Macaca mulatta: one gene and its partners. The protein of the gene in region 7 interacts with the protein of the main gene of each other region in a pairwise test. Links are inferred from orthologs where the notes say so. Each region holds a gene or a part of one and is shown on either strand. Other genes may lie near its edges.

Region 1 (4,106 bases), on a different chromosome or scaffold from region 7:
GCCCGGCTAATTTTTGTATTTTTGGTAGAGACGGGGTTTAACCGTGTTGGCCAGGATGGTCCGATCTCCTGACCTCGTGATCCACCCGCCTCTGCCCTCCAAAGTGTTGGGATTACAGGCGTGAGCCACCGCGCCCGGCCTTTTTTTTTTTTTTTTTTTTTTGAAACAGAATCTCTGTCGCCCAGGCAGGCTGGAGTGCAATGGCGCGACCACGGCTCACTACAACCTCGATCTCCCGGGCTTAAGAGATCCTCCCACTTCAGCTTCCCGAGTAACTGGGACCACAGGCGCATGCCAACATGCCCAGCCTTTTTTATTTTAGTATTATTATTATTATTGTAGCGACGAGGTCCCACTGTATTAAAATAATATAGTGATCTCGAACTCCTGGGCTCAAGCGATCCTCCGCCCTCGGCCTCCGATAGTGCTGGGATTACAGGCTACCGCACCCAGTCTCTTTTTTTACAAAGAATGTAAATAGCCGGTGGATGTTAGATTGGCAGCTGTTTGCAAAGATGTCAGACTATTTCATTACGGAAAGATGCTCTCAAAAGACAAAATAGGTAAGTCGAAAGAACGTGTCCATTTTTTCTCAGTGGCCTAATCAGGTATCATGCTTGGTTTTGAGGACACAGAAAGACAGCGCCCTCATGGAGTTCAAAGTCTGGTGGAGGAAACCAATCATAATAATAATGAGGGGTTAAAGACAACAGAGCCTTGAAAGATAACATCTCCAGGGAATAAGGAAGAGCATTCCAAGGTATCTTGCCAAATGGCAAAAACCGCGGTTACTTTTGCACCAACCTTAATACAAATAAAAGCATGTACACAAACAAGATACTCGAGGAAGAATACGGCTGACACACAGAAACGGATCGTTATCTTGGGGCTTTCCTGCAGCCTCGTTTCTTTCAGTCACGTAACACCCCAAAATCTGTGGACGGTGAATGAGAGCTAGTATCACCCGGAGTCACGGCTGTTGCCTCGTAAGACTTTAGATGCAGCCCGCCACCGGGAGAAACTGGAGGGAATCCGCAATACACAGGAACCAAGAAGGGCTACGTGACAGGGGGTCCCCCGCAGCTCTCAGCCGCCGGCACTCCCAGCCCTGGGTTTCCCGCCAATCTCAGTTACTAGATCTTCCCAGGCTCCGCCCGCCGCCGAGCGGTCGGAGAGTTTTAAGGAAGGGGAAGTGTTGCAAGCCTATCGATATCTCTGGAATAGACTGCGCTACCCTGCGCCGCCGCCATCAGACTCCCGCAGACTTCTCTGTAGATCGCTGAGCGATACTTTCGGCAGCACCTCCTTGATTCTCAGTTTTGCTGGAGGCCGCAACCAGGCCCGCGCCGCCAACATGGTACGTTGAATCCCGACCTCTGGAAGGTTTAGGGCAGAGCTCCGGTGACTCGGGGATGACGAGCCACCTCTCCTGTCATCCTTAGCGCCGCCCGGGGCCACGAGGTATGGGAGCCTCGGCAGACGGCCGGGCTCCGGCAGTGATTCAGCATCTCCGGCCTGGCCGGGTTAGGGGCTGTCGGTAGCCAGTGCGGCCTTTCCACCGCTTTCGCTTCCCGGGGAGCCTCCGACACTTCCTCCTCTGTCAGCTAGATGAGTTCGCCCCTCAGGTTCCTTCAGTGGAGTAGATTCTGAGCGGTCCAGAATAGCCCCTAGTGCTGTGTATGGGAGAGGAGAAGACAGAGACTTGGAGGCCTACCTGTACCACCAGTGCGGACTTGACCCCCAGGTTTGTGTTCCTGGACCGCGTCCGTTTTCCTGGTGGGTCCGTCTGATTTATCTCTCCCCTAGACTTCGGTTAGAAGAGGCCCTTTTCAATAATTTTGTCCAGTCACCTATTTACAGATGAGTAAGCCGAGGCTGAGAAGGGAAGTGATGGAATCTGGGTTACAACATAGGGTTCTGGGTTTCCAGTGCTGTGCTCGCACTCAATCTCACTCCCGTGATTAGTCTCCCCAGCACTGCTAGACTTATTATAATAGTCATAATAGCCGTAATGGTTCTATCGCTGCAGCTGTTTGTGTCCACCTCTAACTTTCTGAGGACATTTTTGTTCATTCAATATGAATATACAGACAGAGCATTTGTACAAGCATAACTACAGTGAACGTTCAAAAGTCATACATGTCCCTAATCATAAAAGCAGAAAGGGACGTTTAGATAAAGAACTGTGGGAGTATGTGTTAGGGGGATTTGGGAAGAAAAGCTAATCATAAAAACAGAAAGGGACGTTTAGATAAAGAACTGTGGGAGTATGTGTTAGGGGGATTTGGGAAGAAAAGGAGAAGACTTCCAGAAATCGACATTTAAGCTAACTTAAAGAAGAGAAAGGCTTTTAACCATTTATTAGGTCCCAATAAAAGGGAGCAGCATAAGCAAAAATAGGCAAGAAAGTTGATTGTGAACTTTAGTAATTGAGCCTAAAGGGATTGCTATGAAGGGTTTTAGAATAAGAGGTTGGAAAAATAGGACCCATTTAGATCTGCTTCTCCCTCTCCCACCAGTTTATGGTAAATGTAGAATTGGCTTACGTCTGAGTACAGTAGTAATCTTCCAGTAAGATTGCATGAACAGAGTGCCTTAACATTGAATGGAAACACAAGCATATTTCTTAATGAATGTTAGAGTTGGGATTTGAAATGTTCTTCTATTAACAGGTCTTTTTTTCTTTTACTTTTAGTTTCGAAATCAGTACGACAATGATGTCACTGTTTGGAGCCCGCAGGTAAAATAATGTTTTTTAAACTATTTCTGTGAAATGGCTTTTTGTGGCTGCAATATATTTAGAAGCTTGTGAGAGCATAGGCTTGGGGAAAATGGAATATAATATTTTAGTCGTTCTTGGAAGTTGCATTTATAATTAAAATAGGTCTCCTAATGGACCTAGAGGACATTATGTTAAGTGAAATAAGCCAGAAACAGAAAGAAAAATATTTCATGCTCTCACTTATATGTGGAATGTTTTGTTTAAAAGAGCAAATATATAGAGAGAGAGAATAAAACAGTGGTTACCAGGGTAGGGAATAGCAGTGGGGAGGAAAAAAGAGGAGATACAAAGTATCAAATATGTAGGTTGAGCAAGTGGAAGGATCTAAGGTACAACATGAAGACTACAGCTAATAATGCAGGTAGTGTTTTGTATTCAGGATTTTTGCTAAGTGAGTAGTTGATAGCTCTTGCCACAGCAGAGGAAAATGGGTAAGTATGTGAGACAATGGATGTGTTCATTCTGCGATAGTGACCCTACTATATATGTGTATCTTACAACATCATGTTGCATACCTTAAGTATATACAACAAAATTTATTTTAAAAGAAGCTTTTGGCTAGGCGCAGTGGCTTATGCCTGTAATCCCAGCACTTTGGGAGGCCGAGGAAGGTAGATTGCTTGAGTCTTGGAGTTCAAGACCACCCTGAACAACATGAAACCTGGTCTCCACAAGAAATACAAAAATAAGCTGGGCGTGGTGGTGCCTGCCTATAGTCCCAGCTACTGGGGACGGTGATTTGAGAGGATTGCCTGAGCCCAGGAGGCAGAGGTTGTACTGAGCTGAAGATTGTGCCACTGCACTCCAGCCTGGGTGACAGAGTGAAAACCTGTCTCAAAAAAAAAGTTTCTTGATTTAAAAAAAAAATCAGTTGAGATTTAACTATGCCCACCTGACATTTGAAAACTCTAATTTTTAAGTTATAAAAGGCCTTCTAAGATGTGGTTTTGTTTTTTTTTTTCTTTAGGGCAGGATTCATCAAATTGAATATGCAATGGAAGCTGTTAAACAAGGTTCAGCCACAGTTGGTCTGAAATCAAAAACTCATGCAGTGTTGGTTGCATTGAAAGTAAGTAAAGTAATAAATATGTCTTCCTCTGTAAAAAACTATTAATGTAAATTTCACCATAGACAGTAAGGTTGTAAACTTATTTTTACATTTTTTTTTTTAACATCTTATAATGTCTCCATTTAGAGGGCACAATCAGAGCTTGCAGCTCATCAGAAAAAAATTCTCCATGTTGACAACCATATTGGTATCTCAATTGCGGGGCTTACTGCTGATGCTAGACTGTTATGGTAAGTATAATCATGAAAAATAAAC
Region 2 (4,003 bases), on a different chromosome or scaffold from region 7:
ACTATTATCATTAAGCAGGGTCTTGAAGCATAAGTAACATTTGGAAGCTAACATGACAGAAGCTAACAGAAGTAGACAGGAGGCACTCATTTCAAGTTTAAAAACCTGCAGGATGGCCAGGCATGGTGACTCATGCCTGTAATCCCAGAACTTTGGGAGGCCGAGGCGGGTGGATCACCTCAGGTCAGGAGTTTGAGACCAGCCCGGCCACTGTGGTGAAACCTCATCTCTACTAAAAATACAAAAATGAGCCGGGCATGGTGGTGGGTGCCTGTAGTCCCAGCTACTCGGGAGGCTGAGGCAGGAGAATGGCTTGAGCCTGGGAGGCAGAGGTTGCAGTGAGCCGAGATGGCACCACTGCACTCCAGCCTGGGTGATAGACTGAGACTCCGTCTCAAAAATAAAAAAACCCCACAAAGCTGCAGGAGCCAAAGTAGTGCAGTGCCCCCACCTGACATGTTCAGACAGGGTAGAGCACTGTTTCTCAGCAAAAGGCGATTTTGCCCCCCAAGCCCTACAGGACACTTAGCAATGTCTGGAGACATTTTTGGTTGTCACAACTAGAGCTAGGGTGCTAACAGCATCTAGTGGGTAGAGGCCAGGGATGCTGCTACATGTCCTGCAATACACAGGACAGCCCCCATAGCAAAGAATTATCATGCTCAAAATGTCACTCGAACCTAGGCGGAGAAATCCTGCGGTAGAGTGGTCAACTCTTACCATTCTTCTACAAGACTGCTCTAACTCTGATACTCCAATTGTACCAGTCTCCTCACTGTTTCTATCATACAGCACAATTCCTTCTCAGAGCCTTTGTACCTGCTGTTCTCCCTGCTTAAATGACCATCCTCCAATAGATGCAAAGCTCTCACCCTCTTTTTTCAGATCTCTGTTCAAATATCACCTTATCAACAATGTCTTCTCAAAATATCCTAATAGAAAATAAGCCACCATCCTTTATCTTATTTTTCTCACAGCACTTAACACCACCCAAACATGGTTTACTTGTTTTTGTCTGCCTTTTTTTTTTGAGATGGAATCTCGCTCTGTTTCCCAGGCTGGAGTGCAGTGGCATCGGCTCACAGGAATCTCCTCCTCCCGGGTTCAAGCGATTCTCCTGCCTCAGCTTCCCGAGTAGCTGGGATTACAGGCGTGTGCCACCACACCTGGCTAATTTTTGTATTTTTAGTAGAGGCAGCCTTTCTGCATGTTGGCCAGCCTGGTCTCAAACTCCTGGCCTCAAGTGATCCGCCCACCTCAGCCTCCCAAAGTGCTGGAATTACAGGCGTGAGCCATCGCACCGGACCTTATCTGCTTTTCTCTCATCAAAATACAAGAACCAAGGGATCCATGAGTGAATTTGTCCATCTTGTTCACTGCTGTATCTCCAGTGCCCAGAAGTGGGCCACATACTCCAAGTGCCTAATACACATTTATTGAATGAATGAATAAAACAATGGACATTAGGGAGGAGAACTAACGGGATTTAGAAGAGGCAGGACAGAAAAAGAGTGCAGCAGTTAAGATGCATGAACTTCAAAATCACGAAGATGTTCCAGTTTCAGCACCACCACTTGCTAGATGTGTGATCTGGGGGCACACAACAGCCTCTCTGTGGCTCACTCTTTTTATTAGTAAAATGAGGATAACGATAGTAAAAGAAGCTACTCATGGACATCGATGGAAGCACCTGCCACTGAGCCTGACATGCAATCAGGGCCGAACAAATGCTCGGTGGCATTGATTTAGTGACAAGCAGAAGGGGGAAGGGTAGTTTTAGATAGCACTGAGGGTTCCTGTGCAAGGACTAGAAGAAGCTGGGGAAGAAACCATTACTCAGGAAAGAGTAGGCATGGGAATGAAAAAGGACCAAGGCAGGGGCGGTGCTTCAGCTGCAGAGGTGGCCTAGGACAGGGGTGCAGAGCATGGACTCCGGGGCCAGACTCTGCCTGTAAATCCCCACTCCTTCATTCACAAGTGATGTGGCCCTGCGCAAATTACTTGCAGCCCTCTGTGCTTCAGTGCTCTCATCTTTAAACTGGGGATAACAATACCTACCTCTTAGGGTTATTGTGATACTCAGTGATTTAGTTTACCTAAACCACCCAGAACAACGCGTGGCATATAGCAAGGGCTGTGTGAATGTAACCATTATTATAATGACAACATGGTTAAGATCATGGTTTCTGGTGCCAGAGAGCCCGAACTGGATTCCTGGCTGCTATTAGCTGGGTGACCTTGGGAAGTTATCCCAAACTCTCTGTGCTTCCATTCTCTTCCAAAATTAAAATGACCTTCGCCTCAGTCTGAAACCCCACATGCTTCAGCAGAGTAACTTCCAAAGGTTTTCAGAGCTCCACCCTCCCTAGCCCCGAAGCAGAGATCTGCTGAGCAAATCCAACCGACAAGCGCCAGGCACAGGTAATGCACTATCGACCCTAGGATTCCGGACGAATTCCCAACCCCATCCAACAGCCCACGCTCTACTCAAGAGACAAGAGCTGCCATTCCCGCTCCCTACTCCCGCAGAACTGTAGAACCCGCCGGTAGAGGCCGGGAGCGCCCCCGAGCAGGGGCCGGGAAGAGGCGGGGCCTGGTTGCAACTCGCGGCCCGGGAGCCAGGGAGACCCAGAGGCTGCGCCCGCGCCCCCTCACCAGTAGCAGCTGCTGTAGACACAGGCGTCCCGCGGGGGACTGGCCGGCTGGTAGTGGACGGCAGTGGGGCCATTACCCTCCATGGCCAGCTAGCTCAGCCAGCGCCGACGCCGGAGGAAGACCGACTGGACCACACGTAGGAAAGGGCGGGCGTGTAGCGGCACGCGCGGGCTCTCAGGGCGGGGTGGGAGGAGCCCGGGGCGGCCGGGACAGTTTCCGGGCGGTGGGGCCAGGAGCGCGGTGGGCGGGGCTCGCAGCACGAGTTCTCAGCGCGGGAAGCCGGGGACGAAATGGGCAGAGCTCGGGCAAGCGGCGCCAGTTCCTGGGAAGGTGGAGCCCAAGCGAAGTGGGCGGGTCCGGGGTGGGGTGAGCGGCGAGAACTCCCGGTGGGCGGAGCCCGGGACGAGGAGGACTGCGTGCTTCCGGGTAGGCGGAGCCCGGCTGGTGGGTGGAGCCCGGGGTGGGGCAGGACTGGAGGCTTGGGCTCTCGTGGGCGGAGTCAGGGGCGGGGCCCCGGTGAGGTTTGGGAGAAGAGGGGTCTTTGGCGGCGGCTTAGGGTGGAGCTAGGTTTGGGCTTGGAGTTGGGCCCTGAATAGCGCTTCGCTGTGAATCTCCCGGGGAGGCTCTTCCAACTTGGGGCTGAGCTTCTGCGCTGTGGAGAAGCCAGGTGAGACACTGAAATAACAGAGGTTTGGGTGTGAAAATCCACACTTCAGCACTCAGCCTGGAGTCCGCGGGAGCCCAGAGAAGAGGAGGGGAGTGGAGGTTAATTCCAATATGACCGCATCGAGGACGCTTTCCGAAAGGGATAGCACACCAAATCTCACTCTATTGTAACTTAATCTTTTAAATTGGAAGACCTATATCTATTGGCTCGAAAAGATATATTAATTCCCTGATATAGTAAATTTGAAAAAAAAAGTTTAAAGAGTCCATATGGTATCGTTTTTGTGTTAATCATGTGTTTGTTCATTTACTGGCAGTCTGGAAGAAAAGACACCATATTGTTAAAATAGTATTTAGGGCCGGGCGCCGTGGCTCAGGCCTGTAATCCCAGCACTTGGTAAGGCCGAGGCGGGTGGATCACGAGGTCAGGAGTTCGAGACCAGCCTGGCCAAAATGGTGAAACTCCGTCTCTACTAAAAATACAAAAATTAGCTGGGCGTGGAGGCGCGCGCCTGTAGTCCCAGACACTCGGGAGGCTGAGGCAGGAGAATCGCTTGAACCCGGGAGGCGGAGGTTGCAGTAAGCCAAGATAGTGCCATTGCACTCCAGCCTGGTCGACAGAGCAAGACTCCGTCTCAAAAAAAGAAAAAAAATAGAATTTATCTATGGTGAATGAATAGTA
Region 3 (4,175 bases), on a different chromosome or scaffold from region 7:
AACTCCTGACCTCAGATGATCCACCCACCTCGGCCTCCCAAAGTGCTGGGATTACAGGCGTGAGCCACCGCGCCTGACCCCTCCCACCTTTCTTGATCTTCTTCTCCTGGATCTTCTCCGTGCACATCTTATAGGCTTCCGACTGCTGGTAGGCCCGCAGCTCCTTCATGTACTGCTGCTTCTCTCTCTCGGCCTCATCCAGGTACCGCTGGGGGACAGCACCAAAAGACCTGAGGCAGGGGAAGCCTCTAACGCCAGGACCCAGTCTTCATCACTCAGCTTTCACAGCACCCTCCCCTCTCCTGAACCTTCCATAGTTCCCTATTCCCTCCAGACAGACAGAACCGGCTCCTCAGCCTGTTGCTCAAGGACCTCTGAGCTCCCACATCACTTCCCATGCCCCAGGCTCATCCCCAACTCCCGCCCTGACAAGACACTCCTGGGCGCCAGAGTCATGGGCAGGCACCCAACCTCCAGGGTATGTGGATATCTAGACTCCCTCCTGCACCCGTTTTTCTCTTTGAAATTTCACTTACAGGGGTGCAAAGCGGCGGTGGCTTTTGTTACATTTCCGTGATGTTTTTGCAATTTTTAAACTAACAGTATATGAAAATCAGATTTCACAAAAAATCCAGGCCTTATCCTGACTTCTTAGACATATCTTTGTTGGTCACCCAGTTTTCGATCTGTCTTGCCTCTTGCTAGCCGCGCCCCCAAAAGCTGGTCATGGGCTGGCCATGGTGGCTAATGCCTGTAATATCAGTACTTTGGGAGACTGAGGTGGGCAGATCATTTGAGGTCAAGAGTTCAAGACCAGCCTGGCCAACATGGCGAAACTCCATTTCTACTAAAAATACAAAAGTTAGCAGGGCGTGGTGGCTGGCGCCTGTAATCCCAGCTACTTGGGAGGCTGAGACAGGAGAACTGCTTGAACCCGGGAGGTGGAGGTTGCAGTGAGCCGAGATCGCGACACTGCACTCCAGCCTGGGCAACAGAGCAAGACTCCATCTCACACACACACACACACACACACACACACAAAAACTGGTCATGGGTGGGCATTTCACCAGGCATAAGGAAAAGCCCTGCACGTGGAATCCTTTGGGGGTCGGGGCTACTGGTAGTACGGGGGTCCGCCGGCCCTGCTCAGCGCCCCGCTCACCTGCTTCTCCGTTGGCTGCAGCTTGCTCCACTCGGCGCCCAACATCTTGGTGATCTCGGGAAAGGGCAGATCCGGGTGGCGCGTGCGGATCTGCTCGCGCCGCTCGTTCAGGAAGCGCACGTAGCCTGTGACCGGTGCCTTGGGCCCATTCGGCAGAATCTTCTTCCGCTTCTTGCCCTTGGGCCAGCCGCGTTTCTTCACCGGCTGCAGAACCGGGCTGCGTCGTTGGGAGGGGGGCCTGGCGTACTGGGGCGGGGCTCAGAGGGGCATGGGCGGGGCCTAATGCTGTATGGGCGGGGACGGGGCGGGGCCTAGTTGGGAGGAAGAACCCGGAAGAGATGGAGGTAGGGCCCAGTCAGGAGTCAGGACACGGTGGTTTAGAGGGGTCCCTGGCCAGGGATGAGGGGATCCCAGAGACTATGGGCCGAGGTTTGAGCACAGGGGTGGTGTTTACTTAGATTGTAGGCGTGGCCTCTGCTTGGTGGGCGTGGCTTCTTGGAGAAAGGGCCCACAGGACCATGGGGAGGGTGCCGCCCCCAAGGAGTGGAAGTGGGCGGGACCTTAGAGTGGGCAGAGCTGGCATTGTGTGGTGGGCGGGGCCTGGACTTAGGGAGGCAGAGGACCTGTCAGGGGCGTGGCAGCTCGCACGGGGCGGGGTCTCAGCTTCCGGAGGAAAATCTGGGCTGTGGGCGGAGCCACAAGCAATTCAAATCCAGCCTGGGGCGGGACTTCAAGGCTGGGGCCGCAGCCCGGGGCCTCCCCCAGCTCAGCGCAGGGACTCTCACCTCCTCCTCGTGGGACCCCTTCTCGCCGGCGCGTGGACCCTCGCCGCGCTCTTGCTTGACAGCCACCACGAAGCCCCCATGCTGGCCCGGAGCCTTGCCGCCCGCCGGCCTGGAGCCAAGGATACAGAGGTCAGCCCCGTCCCTAGAGCCTCCCCTCCCCCAAACGCCTACCCCAAGGCTTTTAGACGCCCGACGATGGGGCTGCTGCGAGAGTGCATGAGCCCGAGGAAGCAGGGTCTGATGGGGTCAGTATCCGCGGAAGGTGGGACAAGCGGGGCTCCTGGGAGGGGCTGGAGGCCGAGGTGGGGTATGCAGGATTGGATGGAGGGAGAAGCCCCCTGACCCAGGTTGGGGGCGGTCGAGACCCCGGCCGGGGTGACTGGAGCGGGGGTTCAGGAGCTAGGGCTGCAGCCGGGAAGGTAGCGAGGGCGTGGGGAGGGAATCGGAGCACTCACGCGGCGGCCGTGCCGGGCTGCTTGGGGCCGTGGGACATGGCTGCTCCGGGCCGGACCTGGAACACGGACGCGGGCGGAGTTGAGTAGCGCCTGGGCTGATTGATGGCGGACCGCGAACTGGGGTATCCCGTGATGGAGAGCCCCGGGATGCCGGGCCCGGAGCGCTGGGGGGGCCGGATCCGGGGGCGGGGAAGTCCTCGAGGGCGGGCGCCCCAAGAATCCTTTGTTGGGCGATTGCCCCCCGGGAGGCCTGGGCCGGTTCCCCCCGGCCCAGGAAAGACCCCGACCCGGCCCTGGGACCCCCGCACCCCCGCCCCCTCGCAAGGCCCGGAGTTCCGCGGCTGTTTTCACCTCCAAAGAAACTTTCCCGGACCTCCCGACTGCGCGACGCTCCAACCAACCGCCCGCAGCCCACCCCCGCCGACTGCCCCGCCCCTCCCCGCCCCCGGCATGCTAATGAGGCCTCGGCGAACGGTCCCATTGGGTGAGGCCTTCCCCCGGGGCGTGCCCATGCAGATACCGATCGGCGCGCCGGCCGGCGATTGGCTGGGGAGGCTGCTGAGCCGCGTGGGAGGTTAGTAAGGAAGGCGGCGGGCGGTGCGTCAAGTTCGGCTGCGCTCGGCCGCGCTCGGGACCAATCGGGAGCGCGTGGCGGACTTGCCGGGCGGAGCCTCTTAAAGGGCCAGTAGGTGAGGCGCCGACTCCTCCTCCCGCTCTGAGGGCGATACTCCCAGCAGCTGCCGGATGGCGCGACCCGCGGATCCGGGTCGGGCCACGCCCCGGTTGCCATGGGGACGGAGGTGCTAGGGTTAAGTTCCTGTGAGGCAGCCCCCAGCCCTAGGACAAGGTGGGACCTGTTCTTAACATCCTGCAAAACCCATCGGAGACGTTTCCTATTTATTTATTCAGAACCCCCGACATCCGGATCCGAGGGCTTCTGGCCACAGGGGCGGCTTTCCCAGTGGGATCTGGGCTTTCCCTCCTGTGCAATGGGGACATCGCACGATGTCCAGGGCATAGAGGCTGGGATGCTGCGAAGCTGAGAACGGGGTGTGGGTCAGTCAGGGGGTGGGGTTGGGAGCTGGGCTGGAAGTATTTGGGGAAAGATGGTGGTAAAGGGAGGTTGCAAGGACCTGGTGAAGTTGGGTCAGGATGCTCCGCTCTGGGGGATCAGACCCAAGTTGGGGGCTGCTCACTTCCTCTTTTTTTTTTTTTTTTTTTGAGACGGAGTCTTGCTCCGTCGCCCAGGCTGGAGTGCAGTGGCTCGATCTCGGCACACTGCAACCTCTGCCTCCCGGGTTCAAGCAATTCTCTGCCTCAACCTCCCGAGTAGCTGGGATTACACACGCCTGCCACTACGCCTGGCTAATTTTTGTATTTTTAGTAGAGACAGGGTTTCACCATCTTGGCCAGGCTGGTCTTAAACTCCTGACCTCGTGATCCACCTGCCTCGGCCTCCCAAAGTGCTGGGATTACAGGTGTGAGCCACCGCGCCCAGCCCCCTTCCTCTTCCTCAAGTCCGCTCAAATGTCACCTGCTCAGCCAGGACCTCGCCTCTGATTTTTTTTTTTTTTTTCTCCGTAAGTCGGTTTCCTCTCTGTGGCCTGCCTGTTTGGTTCACAGCAGTGACCGTGGTGGGTGTTCAATACACATTCATTGAATTGTTCAAATGTCTAGGAGGCAGATGCAGTCAGCTGCTTTGGAAAACAGACTGGCATTTCCTCAAAGGGTTAAATAAATGTGGAATCACCATGCAATTCAGCAGTTCACTCC
Region 4 (3,396 bases), on a different chromosome or scaffold from region 7:
GGAAGCTGTGTGTATAAAGGTGGCAGGTAGTGACATGTAAAGGGCGGCTTAGGTTCTGTCCTAGGCTAGGGGGTCGGGGGTAGAAATGCGTGGGGGAGGCCTGGCACTGTTAGCTCCAAGAGAGGTGTAAATCTGTGTAGGGACTCAGAGGAAAGGCTAGCAGAGTAGGTGCCGGGCAGGGGGCTCTTCCTAATCCAGCTGACCCCTCCCCATGCTAAGGCCCTTCTCACGGCTCCCACGGCCTCCAGGATTGAGTCCTAGGCCTTAGGGCCCACACGTAAAACCCTGCCTGAATTCTCTATCCAACCATATGTATGAACCACCCAAAGCTACCATCCCAACAGCCACCATTCACAGAATGCAAGCCGGGGACTTGGTTTTGTTCAGAGCCTGGGGAAAGTAGGCACTCTGTTTAAGAAGCAGAAGCAGAAGAGGACAATGGTTAAAAGCATGGACTCTAGAGTAAAACTTGCCTGGGCTCAAACTCCAGGACTTCAGTTTACTAACAAGTTACTTAACCTTTCTGTGCCTCATTTGCCTCATCTATAAAATGGGAATAACAATAGCACCCACCTCACAGGGATCTCATTATGATTGAATGAGTTGGTGCCACTAATTCCTAGCAGGTGGCAGGCACTCAGTATATGTTAACCAGAACTTATTATGTCCATGTTTTTCAAAGGCAGATACTATCATTTCCATTTCACAAATGAGGAGACTGATTCAGAAAAGGAGAATGGCTTGTCCAAAATGCACAGAAAAGCCCATACTCAAAACTTTGATGCTTCTGCCCCAAATCTCTACCCCATTATCCACCGAGATGCCTGCTCACTTTTAACTCCCAGCCTCCCATGTCCCACATCTTTTGTTTTTTTGTTTTGAGATGGAGTTTTGCTCTTGTCGCCCAGGCTGGAGTGCAAGGGCACAATCTTGATCTCAGCTCACTGCAACCTCTGCCTCCCAGGTTCAAGCGATTCTCCTGCCTCAGCCTCCCAAGTAGCTGAGATTACAGGTATGCCCCACCATACCCAGCTAATTTTTGTATTTTTAGTAGAGATGGGGTTTCACCATGTTGGTCAGGCTGGTCTTGAACCCCTGACCTCAAGTAACCCGCCCACCTCGGCCTCCCAAAGTGCTGGGATTACAAGCATGAGCCACCGCGCCCAGCGATCCCACACCTTTTGATAATGCCGTCCTCAAGCTTCCAGTGAGAACTAATGGTTCCCTCCCCTCTGATCCTCCAGGCCACCCTCAGATTCCCCTTACTTGCAGAGCTGGGGGCCAGCGCCCCGCGTGAGGACTGGGGTGGCAGGCACACTTCGCCCCTCAAAACTGGAGGCACTCCTGGGCAGCGAGCGTGTGGGGCTAGACAGTGACAGGCAGGCCTAGGTTAGAGACTGTACCCACCAGCAGACCCTCTGCCAGCCCAGGCTTACTATCCCATTCCCAGCTCCTGCGGAGGGGAGGAGGGGCTCATTCTCACCTGGTGGGGCTGGCCACAGAGTTCCGTCGGCTCTTCAGATCCCCGTAAAGATCTGATGGGGGTGGTTTCCATGGGGTTCGCCGCTCAGGGCTCCCCCCGGATACTGCCCGCAGCTGGTCCCAAGCCTTGGGTGGTGAGGGGCGCTCGGCCAGAGAGAAACAGCCATGGGGCTCCTCTGAGTGGAAGAGAGCAAGTGGGATAGAATTCAATGAGGGGGGCCCAGAGGGGGCAGGACAGGCTCGTGGGCAAGGCCATGGGGAGGGGCAAAGTGCTGGGACAGGTTAAGCAGACTGAGGAGGAGCTAAGGCTGACGAGTAGGTTCTGGGGCTGTGGGGCTGGGGGTTGGGGTGGGGTGAGGCTAAGAAGATGGGGGACCTACAGGAAGATGGAGCATGGCTAAGGAGAAGCTGAAGCAGCACAGGAGGGGCTGGGCATCAAAGGATGGGCTGATCATGCAGGATGTGGTCGGATGAATAAAGGGGATGGGCTGAGGGGACATAGGAGTCGGGGGCAGGTTTGGGGGACAGGAGTCCTCACCGTTGTCATGGCTGGCCCCAGACTCTGAGAGGGAGCTGCTCTCTGAGTGCAGAACTACGTCCTCTATAGGTGAGAGGGGGAGAAGTGGGCCTCTCACTCCCAGGCCTGGGTGCCGCCCCCTTACACCACTGGGTGGGCACCTCTACTTGGGCCACCTTCTGGCCAGTTTCCACCTCATCCTGTTCCCTTCCCAAGAATCTGCTTTTACCAGAGCCCAAGACCACCCCAGCTTGGCTCCTGACTGTCCGGGCAGATATTCATCAGTCTCCCACAGTTTGTCCTTTCCGGTAAGCCAGTTTGTCACAACTCTTCTCACGGGTTGGGCCACTTGAGTTGTGCCTACCTCCCGGTTTTCACTGGCCACTCAGCCATCCCAGCCCTACCACGTTCATTTGCCAGTGTCCACTCTCCCACCCTCACCAGGGGATGCTCACCTTGGCTGAGCTGAGTGAGGCGCATGCCCAGGCAGACTCCCTGGGCGGTGATCACTGACCCCGTGGACAGTGGCAGTGGCTGGGGCAGCGGGAGCACTGGGAGGCCAAGGCGGGCCCGGACATCCCCGAGCTGCTCCTCTAGCTCGTGCAGCCTCCTCAGTGCGTCTGCCTGGACCTGGCGACGGCGCCGGCGCTGCTCGGTGCTCAGATCAGGGGCCAGGGCCAGGCGACGGGCAGCTGCCGCGATCTGCTGCTGCACTGACACCTCACGCTCCAGGGCCTCAAGAGCCAGCTCCTGTCAGGCCCACCCAAATGTTGGAAATGGCCAGGAACAGGGACCTGGCGGAGCCAAACCCACTAGAGGCTGGCCTGTACTTCCTGCAGCCTATTCAGGCCCATTCACCTACAGGTGGAGCTTATTCACCTGGGGGAGGGGGCGGGTCAGGGTGAAGGGCTGGGTCGATTCATCTTCCTGAGGGTGGGAGGCCTGTCCTGACAGTTAGGGACCAGCATCCTCCCTCATTGCAGGAACCTACCTCCAGAAGCCCTTTTCCTTCTCAGCTTAGCCTTTCCCTCACCTGGCCACAAGCTCCCTCACCTGGCCACAAGCCCCCTCCCCACACCTTCCTCCTGGCTACTCCTCTGTACCTGTCCCCTCTCCCCACCCTCTTGCTCTCCACACCCATCTGCTCACCTCAGCAGGGCACAAGGAGTGGTGTGCTTGGTTGGGGTGTGGTGGAGGGTAGGCACGGGCTGTGGGGGGCCGCCGGCGGACCAACTGGGGCCGTTCACCAGGCTCTAGTGGGCACTCAGGGGGCAGCTGGCCAGTCAGCTCCTGGTGGGAGGCAGGGGTCAGAGACTACCAAGGGTTAGTTGGAAGGATGGGGTGAAGCATTAATGATCCCAGAAGCCACAGAAGTCCTACCAGGAGCCTGGCCCGGC
Region 5 (4,105 bases), on a different chromosome or scaffold from region 7:
CGCGGCGCCTCCTCCCAGCCCCCGCCTCCGCCCACTGCCCCCCTCCTCCGCCGCCCGCCTGCAGCAAATGAGGGTCAAACCCACCCACCGCCGTGCCCGGCCCCTCCCCAGCCCCCGCCGGGCCCCGGGACAGAGTCGAGGGGAGTGGTGAGGCGACGGCCCCGCCGGAGCCTCGTTCCCTCCCGGGCTCTGCCCTGGGAAGTGCAGCAGGAGTTCACAAGTTGGAAATAGTTCGGTTTTCCGAAAGGGAAGGAGGGAGGGACCGGCAGACGGAAGATGGAGAGCGTGGTGGTGGGAGGGAAGGCAAGGTGACGGCAGAGGGGGTGCAGTGTGTAAAGTTGCGAAACTGGTTTTTCGTATTTTAAGCAGCACCTTTCACATGCCATTGTGGTGACCGCCATCTCCCATTATTGTTCCAAATCTCATTTCATTTTGAAGATCAATGAGTGTTTTCTCTGGGTTTTCAGGACACAGGCAAGAATAATAGATCATTGAACTTTAGGATGCCTGTTAACTTCCTATACAAACACTCTCCACTTTGGTCTCACTAATCTGCCCTTGATCAGCAATTTAAATGCTAAAGCTTTGTTCCTCCAAAGGGGGGGGGGGTCGGCGTTACAGATAACGTGCGAGAAGGCAGCATTAAGGGATGCACAAGTTAAATTCGAGCCCGTTCTGCTGTCACCAAAAACTGCTTTAAAAAAGAATTCCCCACTCTAATGAATGCCACAAGAGATGCAACTGGGATATAATATAGGAATCAATTTATAAAGCTTAGCCTAAACCGATTAATTTGTTGCCTTCAATTCCGAGTCCAATAAAGTCCTAGTGTTCCTCTAGTCACTTATTCTATAAAAAGATCAAGTTATTTACTGCCAATTAAGCAGCCTGTTTTGTCTTTGTCCTCTGTAAGCTGAGAGTGTGGGCTCCCCCTGAGGCTCCCGGCTATCTGCTCAAGACATTCAGCTGATACCTCAGAAGAAGGCGAACTTTGCCTGTCCCCGGCCCAACTTGGCTGCTGCAAAAAAACGAGGAAGGAACGAACGAAACAGGGACTCGGGTTCCTTAAATAGGCCGATTTTAAACACATTTCCTCCGAAAGAGTCCCGGAACGTGTGTCCAGTGACCGCACAATAAACCAGAATAAGAACTGCACCAATTAAGCTGTAACAAAACCCTGAGACTTTGGAAACAGGACCACTCTAAAACCCATTAGCATTGCATTTATCCGAATGCATCATACCTTTATGTAAATTGATTTATCTGATGCATTTACTCGAGGAATTGCTTTTTGTTACAATTTCAGCCCTAACCCAAATGAATCTGCATTTCCTGCCCTAGGTCTTTAAACTGTTTCCCCCAACGTTTTAATCGCTCCGAATTCCTTTTTAAAAGGAGAGAGGGAGGAGATTCCCAGCTCTTCCCCGCCCCCATCTTTAGTGAGAGGTAAATATATATGTATTTTTTTTTTTTTGAAAAGGAAACATTACACTGAGAAAAGCATCCAGTAACCCCATTAGCTAAAGCTCTTAAGGACAAGCAATACCTTAATGCTGATTAAATCTAAAAGAGATGAATCAAGAGGACTGACCAGAAACTGACTCCCCTGATAACTAAGGACGGGCCCTCATCAAGTTTCATTTAGAGTTGGAAAAAAAAAAAAAAAGAAGAAGAAAGCTTTTAAGTTAAATAGGCTTATACTCTAGTAATTACATAGCCAAGCAATTTAGGTCCTGGGATAGTCAGTGAAATAGAAAGCAGAACTGGCAGCTAGAGGCAAAATCTGCCCCCCTTTAATAACGTCTCTGGTGTTTTTTAATGGAGACCAAGGGAGGGACAAACGTAACGCTGGCAATTTGTAGTACAAAAATGGATGCTTAATTCATGTCTTGATTTTAATTAGGTGATTCACCGTATTTCTCCTGGATTGTAACAAAAGACTTATAAACCAAGAGGTTTTAAAAAGAACTAGCAATACCGAATCCTGCTCACTTAGACCCTTCCTGCCACTGTTTCAAAATTAGTGTTTACTAGAAGGGGGGGGTTATCGTGACTATCCCCACCCCCACCCCCCCAAACACACTACTTCTCATACTTAAAACCTCATCTAAGCACCCCTTGCCCTTTCCCTCATGAACTAGAAATATCCCACCCCCTCTACGGTCCCCACCAGCCCCGTTTCCAAGAAGAGCCCTTTTGTAAGCAGGAACCGCTACAAAGCTGGCGGCCCGGGGCTGCCCTCCGCGCTAGCTCGCAGGCCGGCCTCGGTAGTTTCAGACTCGCGCTTTATCTAAGGCGACGTATTGTTTACTTGCAATTTGGGACGGTAAGGGGAAGGAAGCCAAAGAAAACAGCCCTGGCCCGAATCGGCCCCCTCCCTCTCTCTCCCACCTCCCGGCCCGCGGCTCCCCCAGCCGCCCCCTTACCTGCTTTTCCCCTATATTGCAATATTGCAAGAGGCGGCGGCGGTGAAATGCGAACGAAGCCGCTCGGCTTCCAGGGAAGGGGCGCCTGGGCTGGCGGAGCTGGAGGGAGGGAGGGAGTTCTCGCAGAAGCAGGAAAGGGGAGGAGGGGGCTAAGGGCGGCTTTTTTTTTTTAAATCGCGTTGCTCTGGGGCGGGTTGGGGGGCCCCCGCGTAAGTGGCAGGCGGCCGGGAGCAGAAGTGTCAGTCTCAGTCTTCGTCCTTCTCCTCCGCCTCCGGCTGCGCGCGAGCAGCTGCAGGAGCCCTCGGCCCGCGCGACGCGGCTTCAGGCGCGGTGCAGCGGCAGCAACTGCTGCAATCGCTGCTGCAAGTTTGGCAATGTGGCTTCACTTTGTATATTCCCCCGCCCGGCGGCCCCCGCCCCCGCCCGCGCTCCTCGCGCTCCTCCCGCTCCTCCTCCTCCGCCGCCGCCTTCCTCCCTCCCGCGCGCTCGCTAGCTCGCTCGCTCGCTCCGGGCTGGCAGCGGCGGCTCGACTGAGCTCCCTGCACCTCCGCCCGGGAGCAGCCGCAGACACAGAAACCCGGGGAGCGGCGGCGGACGGTGCGGAGGCCGGCAGGCAGGCGCGCCCAGGAGTCGGGAGCTGCGGCCGGCCGGGCCCGACGCGCTGGAGCCTACGCCGCTGCCGGGACTGTTGCCGGGGCTGCTGCTGCCCGGCGCGGAGGCGGAGGCGGAGGAGGCGGCGGCGGCGGCGGCGGCGGCGGCGCTGGCCTCTAGCCGGCTCGCTCGCTCCCTCCGCGGCTCTTACACATGTGTTACTGACAGAGCAAAATCCCAACTACTCCCCGGCTCTGCCTCCGACGTCAGCGACCCTCAGCCACTGGGCGGCCGGATTGTTCAGGCGGAATAATAAAACCTGCCAATCCGGGGAAGGACAAAGGGATGACTGAAACGAGACTCGGGGGGCGGGGGAGAGAGTGAGGCGGCGGAGCGGGCCGACAGAGGAGAAGGGAAGGGCCCGAATCAGGTGGGGAGAAGTGACCCGCTTGGCGCCTGGCGCCGGGGACCCGCTTGGGCTGACCTTCGCGACCCGGGATCCGGAGCCGAGACCCGGTGGGGCGGGGGGGCCTCACCTGCCTTCTCTGCGCACGGGGACCCTGAGGACCCGCTCCCGCTCGCTCCTCGGGGACTGCCATCCCCTCGATCTGAGAGGAGACCCTTAGGAAACTTACCATCTTTCTCAGAAATGGGTATCTTCCTGTTTGGGAAGATAAGTCCTGCATCTTAGGGCAGTGAACTTCTATCCCCTCACGCACACGCACACAGAAGAGGGTTTTTGTTGTTGTTTCTTTAATTCACGATATTGGAGATTTATGAACCGTAGTGGAAGCTTAGTTAACAAGGTAGAAACATAAAGGAAATAATAGTTGCTAGCTAAATACTGCCTACTTAGCCTCCCTCATCCCCCATTTACCCGAGTGTGAAAGTGCCTAGCAGGCATTTCTTGGATCCTTGTCAATTGCTGGTGATGTAGGGAGCACAGTCCTTATTTTCAAAGTTGACGAAAACTTCAGGGAGAAAACCTTGCCCGACTACCCTCCTCACTGTGGAGGATGAGAGGCGGAAATTCTCACAGCCCCCAAAAGCAATGGAAGTAATTGCGAGATTTGCAATCTCACAGCCTC
Region 6 (2,592 bases), on a different chromosome or scaffold from region 7:
TAGGAGTTAAAATATTTCTGTCCATTCATACTTACATGTACGTTTATCTAAATGTTTAACAATTTATAAAGCTGAAAACTCATTTAGTTCCTCACCTCCCCTACACACCAAATACATTGTGAAATAAGGAACAAGGACATAATCAAAGATATGCCTAACATGGGGTAGACTTTACTTTTGTAACACTTTAGGACATCACTGCTTATAATTGAAAATATTTAAATGTGAATAATTCCTGAGGGGTTTGTGATAACTGTAAAAAAAACAAAACAAAACAAAACAAAACAGACCTTCTGTAAGCCCCCCAAAATTAAAACCAATCATGTATGAAGGAAATAAGGGAAGATCTACAATTGCCTTTCATGGATGGGAATATGGCTACATATTTCCACCTAAAGTATCTTCTGTCACAGGATATACCTACCAGAACAATTTCTTATTATCTCTAAAGTGAATTAAAGACATAGCCTCCTAGAGAAAACAAAAAACTACTCTGCAACCAGGATTTGGTATGTTTTATTAGAGCAAATTTTTAACAAAAGGTGGCTTTTATTTACAGAATTTAATATGTGTGGGGAATGTCCAACCCATGTGGACTCAAGTAAAGATAACCATTAAGCTGGCTAATGTATTTTCTTATTTTCAGTTTAGATACAAATTTTTTTTTGTTCGCTTCACATTCATAAAAACCCCAATATTGTAAATGACAAATAACCCCTCCCATCCCTTAATTAAATATACAAACAGCTTGAAAACATACAATTTAAATTGGTTTAATCTTGAAGTGTAATCCAATAAGACTGAAAACTAAACATTTCAAGTCTTGTACCAAATAGTAAAATACTCGAAGACCTTCAGGATCCCTAAAATTTAAAAAGGTAAAAGTTACTTTTTCTTCCTAGGATAAAACAATTCTTTAAATTCCTAAAACAAAACAAAATTAAAATCTTTTAACAATTAAGTTAACAATATTTAGGAGAAGGGAAGGATTTTGCCAACAACTACAGCATAAAATGAATATCTTTTCTATAAGAAAAAAATAGTTTCTTCATCAGTATTCATTTTAGTATTTAAAGATTCATCTCCTTATGAATGTCATAACCGCATCATAAAAATGTCTAATAAAGCAGAAAAAATAATACCGTAATGCCACCATTTCATAGAATAACTGTGAACATTTTGATGTTTCTCTATTTTATAATAACTAAAATCATTCCCTGTGCCCCTTTTTACATTGCTTTCCCCACAGCATTAAAAAAAAAATTCCCCAGTAATTTTTAATTAATTTAATAATTCTCTCCCTGTTAGACAACGGGGTTAATTTCCTATTATTAATAATACTTCAATGAGCATCTTCATGCATAATAAAGATTTTCCAATATTTAGGAGTAGTTCCATAGAAGAGATGCTCAGAAATGAAATTACTAGGCCAAAGGTGAATGAAAAATGTAAACGGTTTTTGATGCATATTACCAAACTGCTTTCCAAAAACCACTACCAATTTATAATCCCAGTAGGGTATCAATGCCACATCCTCACCAAATGTAGGAAAAGAAATTTCATAGTTTACAAGCATCCAGTTGGTCTCTGTGAACACAGACTTTTGTGTCCAATAGTCATTATGCATTCATTCCTTTCTCCTTTCCTCTCATAAATATTGAAAGCATCTATTATGTGCAGGGCACTATGCTAACTTTGTGGATACAGCAAGGTTCTCATGGAGCTTACTTAAAGCAGACAAATAGGTTATTACAATTTAGAGTGACAGAAAAAGGGAAGAGCACTATGGGACACTTTGAGGGGAATGGGCACAAATAAGTGGCTTGGATCAGACCAAGAAAATGGGATGTACTACAAAACCCTGGGGCGGAGGAGAGATCGATCTTGGGAAGACATTGGTAGTAAAGGATACTTAGGCTAGACTGGATTTTTTCCATCTTTTTCCCAAGTATTGAGCCCAAGGAGGAAAGTGAGATGACATGGACCTAATGAGGCTGATATAATCCAATAAGGACTTCTTTTCTTTGGATTTTCTGATACTATATCCACATTTTTATACAAAATAGCTAATACAATTTGGGCATTATTATATACAGCTGTTGGATTAAAATTTTTTGGACAATCGATGAAATACTCTGCTAACTTCTACTGACAGACAAGATAGTAAGCCTTTAATGACATACAAATCAGAATTACATCTGCATAATAAACTGATAGGAGGCCACTGAAATTATCTTGGCTAACAAACTGACTATACTATAGTTCTAAAATGAGCCTCTCTAATAATGACAACTTGGCCAAAATGCTTTAACATACTTACTTTGACTGATTTACGTCAATAAGAGAACCTATTTTTGATGTGGTAAATGATATGTGCTCATCTCCAATTACAATTTCAAGCTCCTAAAAAAAAAATAGCAGAAAAATGTAGTTAATATATAAATCTATCCCAGAGATATCTGTATTCTTGCTACAAACGGATCCCAATTTTAGTTGCAAGTTTTCTAGCAGTCAACGGGGGGTGGCGTGGTGGGGGGAAAGAAACTTGGTGTATTAGATATAAACTATATCCTTAAAATAAAAACTGCTCAC
Region 7 (4,267 bases):
CTGATAAGGGTTTGCTCTCTGCTTCCAGGATGGTACCTTCTTGTTGTGTTTTCACATGGCTTAAAGTTGAAGGGGAAAAGGGGTCTAAGACAATCCCTTCAATCTCTTTTATAAGGTCTCTAATCACATTCATGAGGGTCCCACCTCATGATTAAATCATGCCCAAATGGCCCCACCTCTTAATGTTATCATATTGGCAATTAAGTTTCAACATATGAAATTTGGGTTACACATTTAGACTACAGCAATATGTATGCAAAATACACAAGGTATATATATATATACCTGTACAAGTGTAGCTTATCTGAAAGTCTTTTTAAAAATATTGTCAAAATAGTAGAATCTTTTAAATCTCAAAAAAAAAATCACCACTTGAGGTAGATAAGCAGAAAAAAACACTTAAAATTTTCACCGCAGAATATGTTTTAGCATGTGGAAATTTAGCATGTTCTCTGAACAAAAAGCCTAAAAAGTTTATTGGTTTATTAAATCATTTTCAGATTAATGCATTATTTTGATCATTTTCACGTTGCCTAGATCAGTGATGTGCAACGGAAATATAATGCAAAACCACATATGTAATTATAAATTTTCTAGTAGCTACACTTAAAAATAAAAACATGTGAGATTAATTTTAATAATTTAATTAACTCATATCTAAGCTATAATCATTATAACATATTATCAGTACAAAAATATTGAGACATTTTACAGTTTTATATTGTCTTCCCAATCCAGTGATCCAGTGTATATTTTACATTTATAGTATATCTCGTTACAACCTCTCTAATTTCATCAGAAATATTTAATTGATATTTATTTTATAGAGACATGGTCTTGCTCTGTTGCCAGGCTGGAAGGCAGTGGCAGGATCCCAGCTCACTGCAACCTCAACTTCCCTGGCCCAACTTATCCTCCCACCTCAGCCTCTGGAGTAGCTGGGACCACAGGTGTGTGCCACCACATCCAGCTGATATTTTTTTTTGGAAACAATCTCCCTCTGCCGCCCAGGCTGGAGTGCAGAGGTGCAATCTCGGCTCACTGCAAGCTCGGTCTCCTGGGTTCATGCGTTCTTCTGTCTCAGCCTCCCAAGTAGCTGGGACCACAGGCGCCTGCCACCACGCCTGGCTAATTCTCTGTATTCTTAGTAGAGATGGGGTTTCACTGTGTTAGCCAGGATGGTCATAATCTCTTGACCTAGTGATCCATCCGCCTCAGCCTCCCAAAGTGCTGGGATTACAGCCGTGAGCCACCGCGCCAGGCCACATCCGGCTAATTTTTTAATTTTTTGTACAGATGGGGTCTCCCTGTGTTGACCAGGCTGGTCTCAGTCTCCTCACCTCAAGCAATCCTCCTGCCTCAGCCTCCCAAAGTGCTGGGATAACAGGCATGAGCCACCGACGCCTGGGACTTGATCAGTATTTAGATTTCATAAAGTTTACAGTTGAAAAAGTAGATTCACATACCTCAGTTGTTCCAACCATATTAAAAAAACTTTCCAATAGCTGAATCAAGTGCCAGTTTTTGAGTTTACTGAGATTAAAATTAAATATTCAGTTACTTCATCACACTAGGCACATTTCGAAAGCTCAATAGCGACATATGGTTAGTGGCTACACTACTGAAGAGCACAAATCTAGGTCAACCTGTTTTCGTTGTTCTCCACATGTGAACTTAAACTGTAACGCAAATATAAAAAGATATTATTTTATTTTGCATGATGTGGAAGACAGAAAAATTTGAAATACATTAGAATGAAAAAAAAATTGAATATGGGTCATTCAGAGACCTTGCCAAGAAAGTAGAAAAGCTTCTGTATAAGAGTATCGAGGCGATGGTACTATTATAAAGCTGTTCCACCACCGCGAGAACATTACCATCACTTCAACTGTCCTCTTACGTTTTAGTCTACTTTTTTCAAAAAAAAAAAAAAAAGAAAGAAAAGAAAAGAGAAACAAAAAGAAAAATTGAATCTGCAGAGGGCTCGCGTTTGTGCATGCTGTATGCACAAAGGGGGTGACATTTAGGGCTTGCTCTCAATTACAGTGCAATTTAATCTTCCAGTCACTAGGAATAACAACGTTTTATAACATTTCGGCCTGTTGGAATTTTGAACCTAAGGTGAACCGGCTGACATCATATCCCCCTTCTGCTGTCATAGGTTTTCAAAATTTGGTTTGATCTAAATTCTCTGGTACCTTATGTCCCATAAAAATTTCATCTAATTCGGAAGTAGTGACTGCTGCAGTAACCGTCTCATGAAAGTATATGGTTTTTACAAATCATTGTCGTGTAGAAGAAAAAACAGGTAGCAATATAAATATTTCATACTATTTATTTAGTCCCAAAATAATCAGAAAAGAGTCATCAAAAAATATCCTACGCTTAACTTCATGTTCTCAAGTTTCAAGAGAAAGTTTTTAAAGAGGCAATCCTTACTTTGGCAAAAATGCATTAAAGCTTGCTGCATTTAAGAGATGTCCCATTATGCAAACAGGTTGAAAGAATATTACAAGTACGTTTTGGAAAAATACGGAGTGTCGCGCAGCTCAGCAATCCACAGTCTTAATGCGCGCCTCTTTCCAGGAATTTGATCCAGCATCAAAACCCACAGGTGCATTTACTGCATGGGAGTAGCAAGTAAATGATGTGCCAATATTCAACCTGCAACTGCGTCGTCGGAGCCTACCTCACCCTCAGCGTAACTTTCACCGGTACTCACCTTCCCAGAAACTCGCCCCAGTGAACAACCACCGTTGTCCCTAGTAAAGCCCTTAAGCAGGGTTCCCACGCTCCTGGGCTGGGCGGGGCGCCGGGGGCGCAAAGCATTCTTAAGAACACGACTGCGCAGGCGCTACCCTCCTCGCGCAGGCGCCGTACTCCCCCTCATAGCCAGAATTAGAGACCAGCCGGGTGCTGGGAGGTTAACGAGGCCGGCTAGTCCCGCCCCCGTATTGAGCGCGGTGCTTCTCTTCCGCTCCGGGTGGGGTCTGCTTCCCTTTCCGGGCGGGCAGGCAGCGAACCCCAGTGTCTTTATCCCTCTTTTGCACAGAGTCAGCTTCTGCAGCTCTCCCTGGCTGGCATGGCAGCGTGGAGGAGTTGGGCCGCTCTGCGGCTCTGCGCCACAGGTAATGGGCGCGCAGCGGTCGGAACCTGGCCCCGCCGTGGGGCCGGGATTGGGCTCGGGTCTGGGGCGAGGCCTGCGGGGCCCGCGGAGATGCCCACCCGGTCCCCGGCAGCGTCCTGCCGTCCCCGCCCCACCGCCCTGCCTGGCCGTGAAGGAGCGGACACCTGAGGGTCCTTCCGCCGCTGCTGTGCGGGACCAGTGCTGGACGTGGGAAGGGCGCGCTGCCTTGTGTTTGTGTTTTTCTCATTGTGGCAGGAAGTTTCAGTAAAGCTTACTCCTTTGATGGGCAAGAAGGATGCCGCCGTCCCACCTTAACGACCAGATCTTGTCTTGACTTTAGGTTCCGAGTCTTGTTATGTTTAAGGGTTTTTACCACCAGTGCTCAGAGAGGGTGGTCGAGGACAGATCAGGGTCAGGCCGCCGGGATTGTGCGGTGTGAAAAGGACCTGAGTGTGTGTCAGCGGTTCTCAGCTGCCTCCCGTCAGCACGGAGTGCCCTCATTCTCACTGGGGTCCGCTCACTTAACCTTTTAGAATCCACTCTGTGTCAGACACGGCCGTGTAATAAGTATTAGAGTTACAGCTCGACTTTCTTTCTATTTGGGGGTAAATATTTTGAATGACATTTGGAGTTTTTACTGAAGAGATAATTGCTATTAAAGCAAAAGAAGTATAGAAGAATGCTGTCTATATTCCAAAAAGATGGAATGGTAAAAAGGAGAAGTAAGATGAGAGTGAAAATGAGGAAAAAGGAACTGTGTATATTAGCTTTATTGGCTTACCTAGAACTTGGCCGGTCACCATGTGGTTGCATACAGACTATTTATTAAATGGATGAACTACTTTTGCTTTTGCATCATTTGCACCCTGGGATGTATCAGTGATGAATTTTTTGGTAGGTTGTAAAAGGTCAAAAACACCTCAAAGATGACTAAGCTTATACAGTATGAGCCAAATAATCAGCATTTATTGTGTACGTTTTGTCTTTTTTTTTTTTTCCAGTTGTTTTACTTGATATGGTCGTCTGTAAAGGATTTGTAGAAGATTTAGATGAATCGTGAGTATACATATATATATTTAAAATATTATTTTAACTGTCCAATTCATATATCTGAATATTTGCATGTGAATCTAGTATTTT

What was found.
Region 1: the proteins of CCDC102B (region 7) and PSMA1 interact in binary tests that used the Homo sapiens proteins (3 or more experiments, as listed by UniProt). The two-hybrid records come from large-scale screens. The link is inferred for Macaca mulatta from reciprocal best matches to the Homo sapiens genes CCDC102B and PSMA1.
Region 2: the proteins of CCDC102B (region 7) and NTAQ1 interact in binary tests that used the Homo sapiens proteins (3 or more experiments, as listed by UniProt). The two-hybrid records come from large-scale screens. The link is inferred for Macaca mulatta from reciprocal best matches to the Homo sapiens genes CCDC102B and NTAQ1.
Region 3: the proteins of CCDC102B (region 7) and HMG20B interact in binary tests that used the Homo sapiens proteins (3 or more experiments, as listed by UniProt). The two-hybrid records come from large-scale screens. The link is inferred for Macaca mulatta from reciprocal best matches to the Homo sapiens genes CCDC102B and HMG20B.
Region 4: the proteins of CCDC102B (region 7) and CCDC120 interact in binary tests that used the Homo sapiens proteins (3 or more experiments, as listed by UniProt). The link is inferred for Macaca mulatta from reciprocal best matches to the Homo sapiens genes CCDC102B and CCDC120.
Region 5: the proteins of CCDC102B (region 7) and LMO4 interact in binary tests that used the Homo sapiens proteins (3 or more experiments, as listed by UniProt). The two-hybrid records come from large-scale screens. The link is inferred for Macaca mulatta from reciprocal best matches to the Homo sapiens genes CCDC102B and LMO4.
Region 6: the proteins of CCDC102B (region 7) and MAGOHB interact in binary tests that used the Homo sapiens proteins (3 or more experiments, as listed by UniProt). The two-hybrid records come from large-scale screens. The link is inferred for Macaca mulatta from reciprocal best matches to the Homo sapiens genes CCDC102B and MAGOHB.

Annotation. Positions count from the first base shown.
Region 1 is NC_133419.1:50,928,385-50,932,490, forward strand, and holds the start of PSMA1 (proteasome subunit alpha type-1), read left to right. Parts: upstream 1-1,306; 5' UTR 1,307-1,354; coding exon 1,355-1,357; exon of another isoform or gene 1,358-1,744; intron 1,745-2,695; coding exon 2,696-2,740; intron 2,741-3,749; coding exon 3,750-3,851; intron 3,852-3,977; coding exon 3,978-4,081; intron 4,082-4,106. UniProt on the Homo sapiens protein: Component of the 20S core proteasome complex involved in the proteolytic degradation of most intracellular proteins. This complex plays numerous essential roles within the cell by associating with different regulatory particles.
Region 2 is NC_133413.1:133,837,370-133,841,372, reverse strand, and holds the start of NTAQ1 (protein N-terminal glutamine amidohydrolase), read right to left. Parts: upstream 2,801-4,003; 5' UTR 2,739-2,800; coding exon 2,656-2,738; intron 1-2,655. UniProt on the Homo sapiens protein: Mediates the side-chain deamidation of N-terminal glutamine residues to glutamate, an important step in N-end rule pathway of protein degradation.
Region 3 is NC_133424.1:4,383,176-4,387,350, reverse strand, and holds the start of HMG20B (SWI/SNF-related matrix-associated actin-dependent regulator of chromatin subfamily E member 1-related), read right to left. Parts: upstream 2,801-4,175; 5' UTR 2,711-2,800; intron 2,459-2,710; 5' UTR 2,441-2,458; coding exon 2,403-2,440; intron 2,057-2,402; coding exon 1,948-2,056; intron 1,367-1,947; coding exon 1,163-1,366; intron 209-1,162; coding exon 88-208; intron 1-87. UniProt on the Homo sapiens protein: Required for correct progression through G2 phase of the cell cycle and entry into mitosis. Required for RCOR1/CoREST mediated repression of neuronal specific gene promoters.
Region 4 is NC_133426.1:49,143,686-49,147,081, reverse strand, and holds part of CCDC120 (coiled-coil domain-containing protein 120), read right to left. Parts: intron 3,290-3,396; coding exon 3,149-3,289; intron 2,750-3,148; coding exon 2,455-2,749; intron 2,084-2,454; coding exon 2,021-2,083; intron 1,659-2,020; coding exon 1,484-1,658; intron 1,366-1,483; coding exon 1,267-1,365; intron 1-1,266. UniProt on the Homo sapiens protein: Centriolar protein required for centriole subdistal appendage assembly and microtubule anchoring in interphase cells. Together with CCDC68, cooperate with subdistal appendage components ODF2, NIN and CEP170 for hierarchical subdistal appendage assembly.
Region 5 is NC_133406.1:153,320,423-153,324,527, forward strand, and holds the start of LMO4 (LIM domain transcription factor LMO4), read right to left. Parts: upstream 2,801-4,105; 5' UTR 2,427-2,800; exon of another isoform or gene 1-2,426. Other genes in the region: uncharacterized protein LOC144332728, read left to right, coding at 2,801-3,370. UniProt on the Homo sapiens protein: Transcription cofactor. Plays a role in establishing motor neuron identity, in concert with MNX1, acting, at least in part, to disrupt LDB1-LHX3 complexes thereby negatively modulating interneuron genes in motor neurons.
Region 6 is NC_133416.1:10,000,989-10,003,580, reverse strand, and holds the end of MAGOHB (protein mago nashi homolog 2), read right to left. Parts: intron 2,404-2,592; coding exon 2,321-2,403; intron 864-2,320; coding exon 764-863; 3' UTR 501-763; downstream 1-500. UniProt on the Homo sapiens protein: Required for pre-mRNA splicing as component of the spliceosome. Plays a redundant role with MAGOH in the exon junction complex and in the nonsense-mediated decay (NMD) pathway.
Region 7 is NC_133423.1:11,949,062-11,953,328, forward strand, and holds the start of CCDC102B (coiled-coil domain-containing protein 102B), read right to left. Parts: upstream 2,801-4,267; 5' UTR 2,723-2,800; intron 1-2,722. UniProt on the Homo sapiens protein: During interphase, forms fibers at the proximal ends of centrioles to maintain centrosome cohesion. During mitosis, dissociates from the centrosome following phosphorylation to allow centrosome separation. Contributes to CROCC/rootletin filament formation.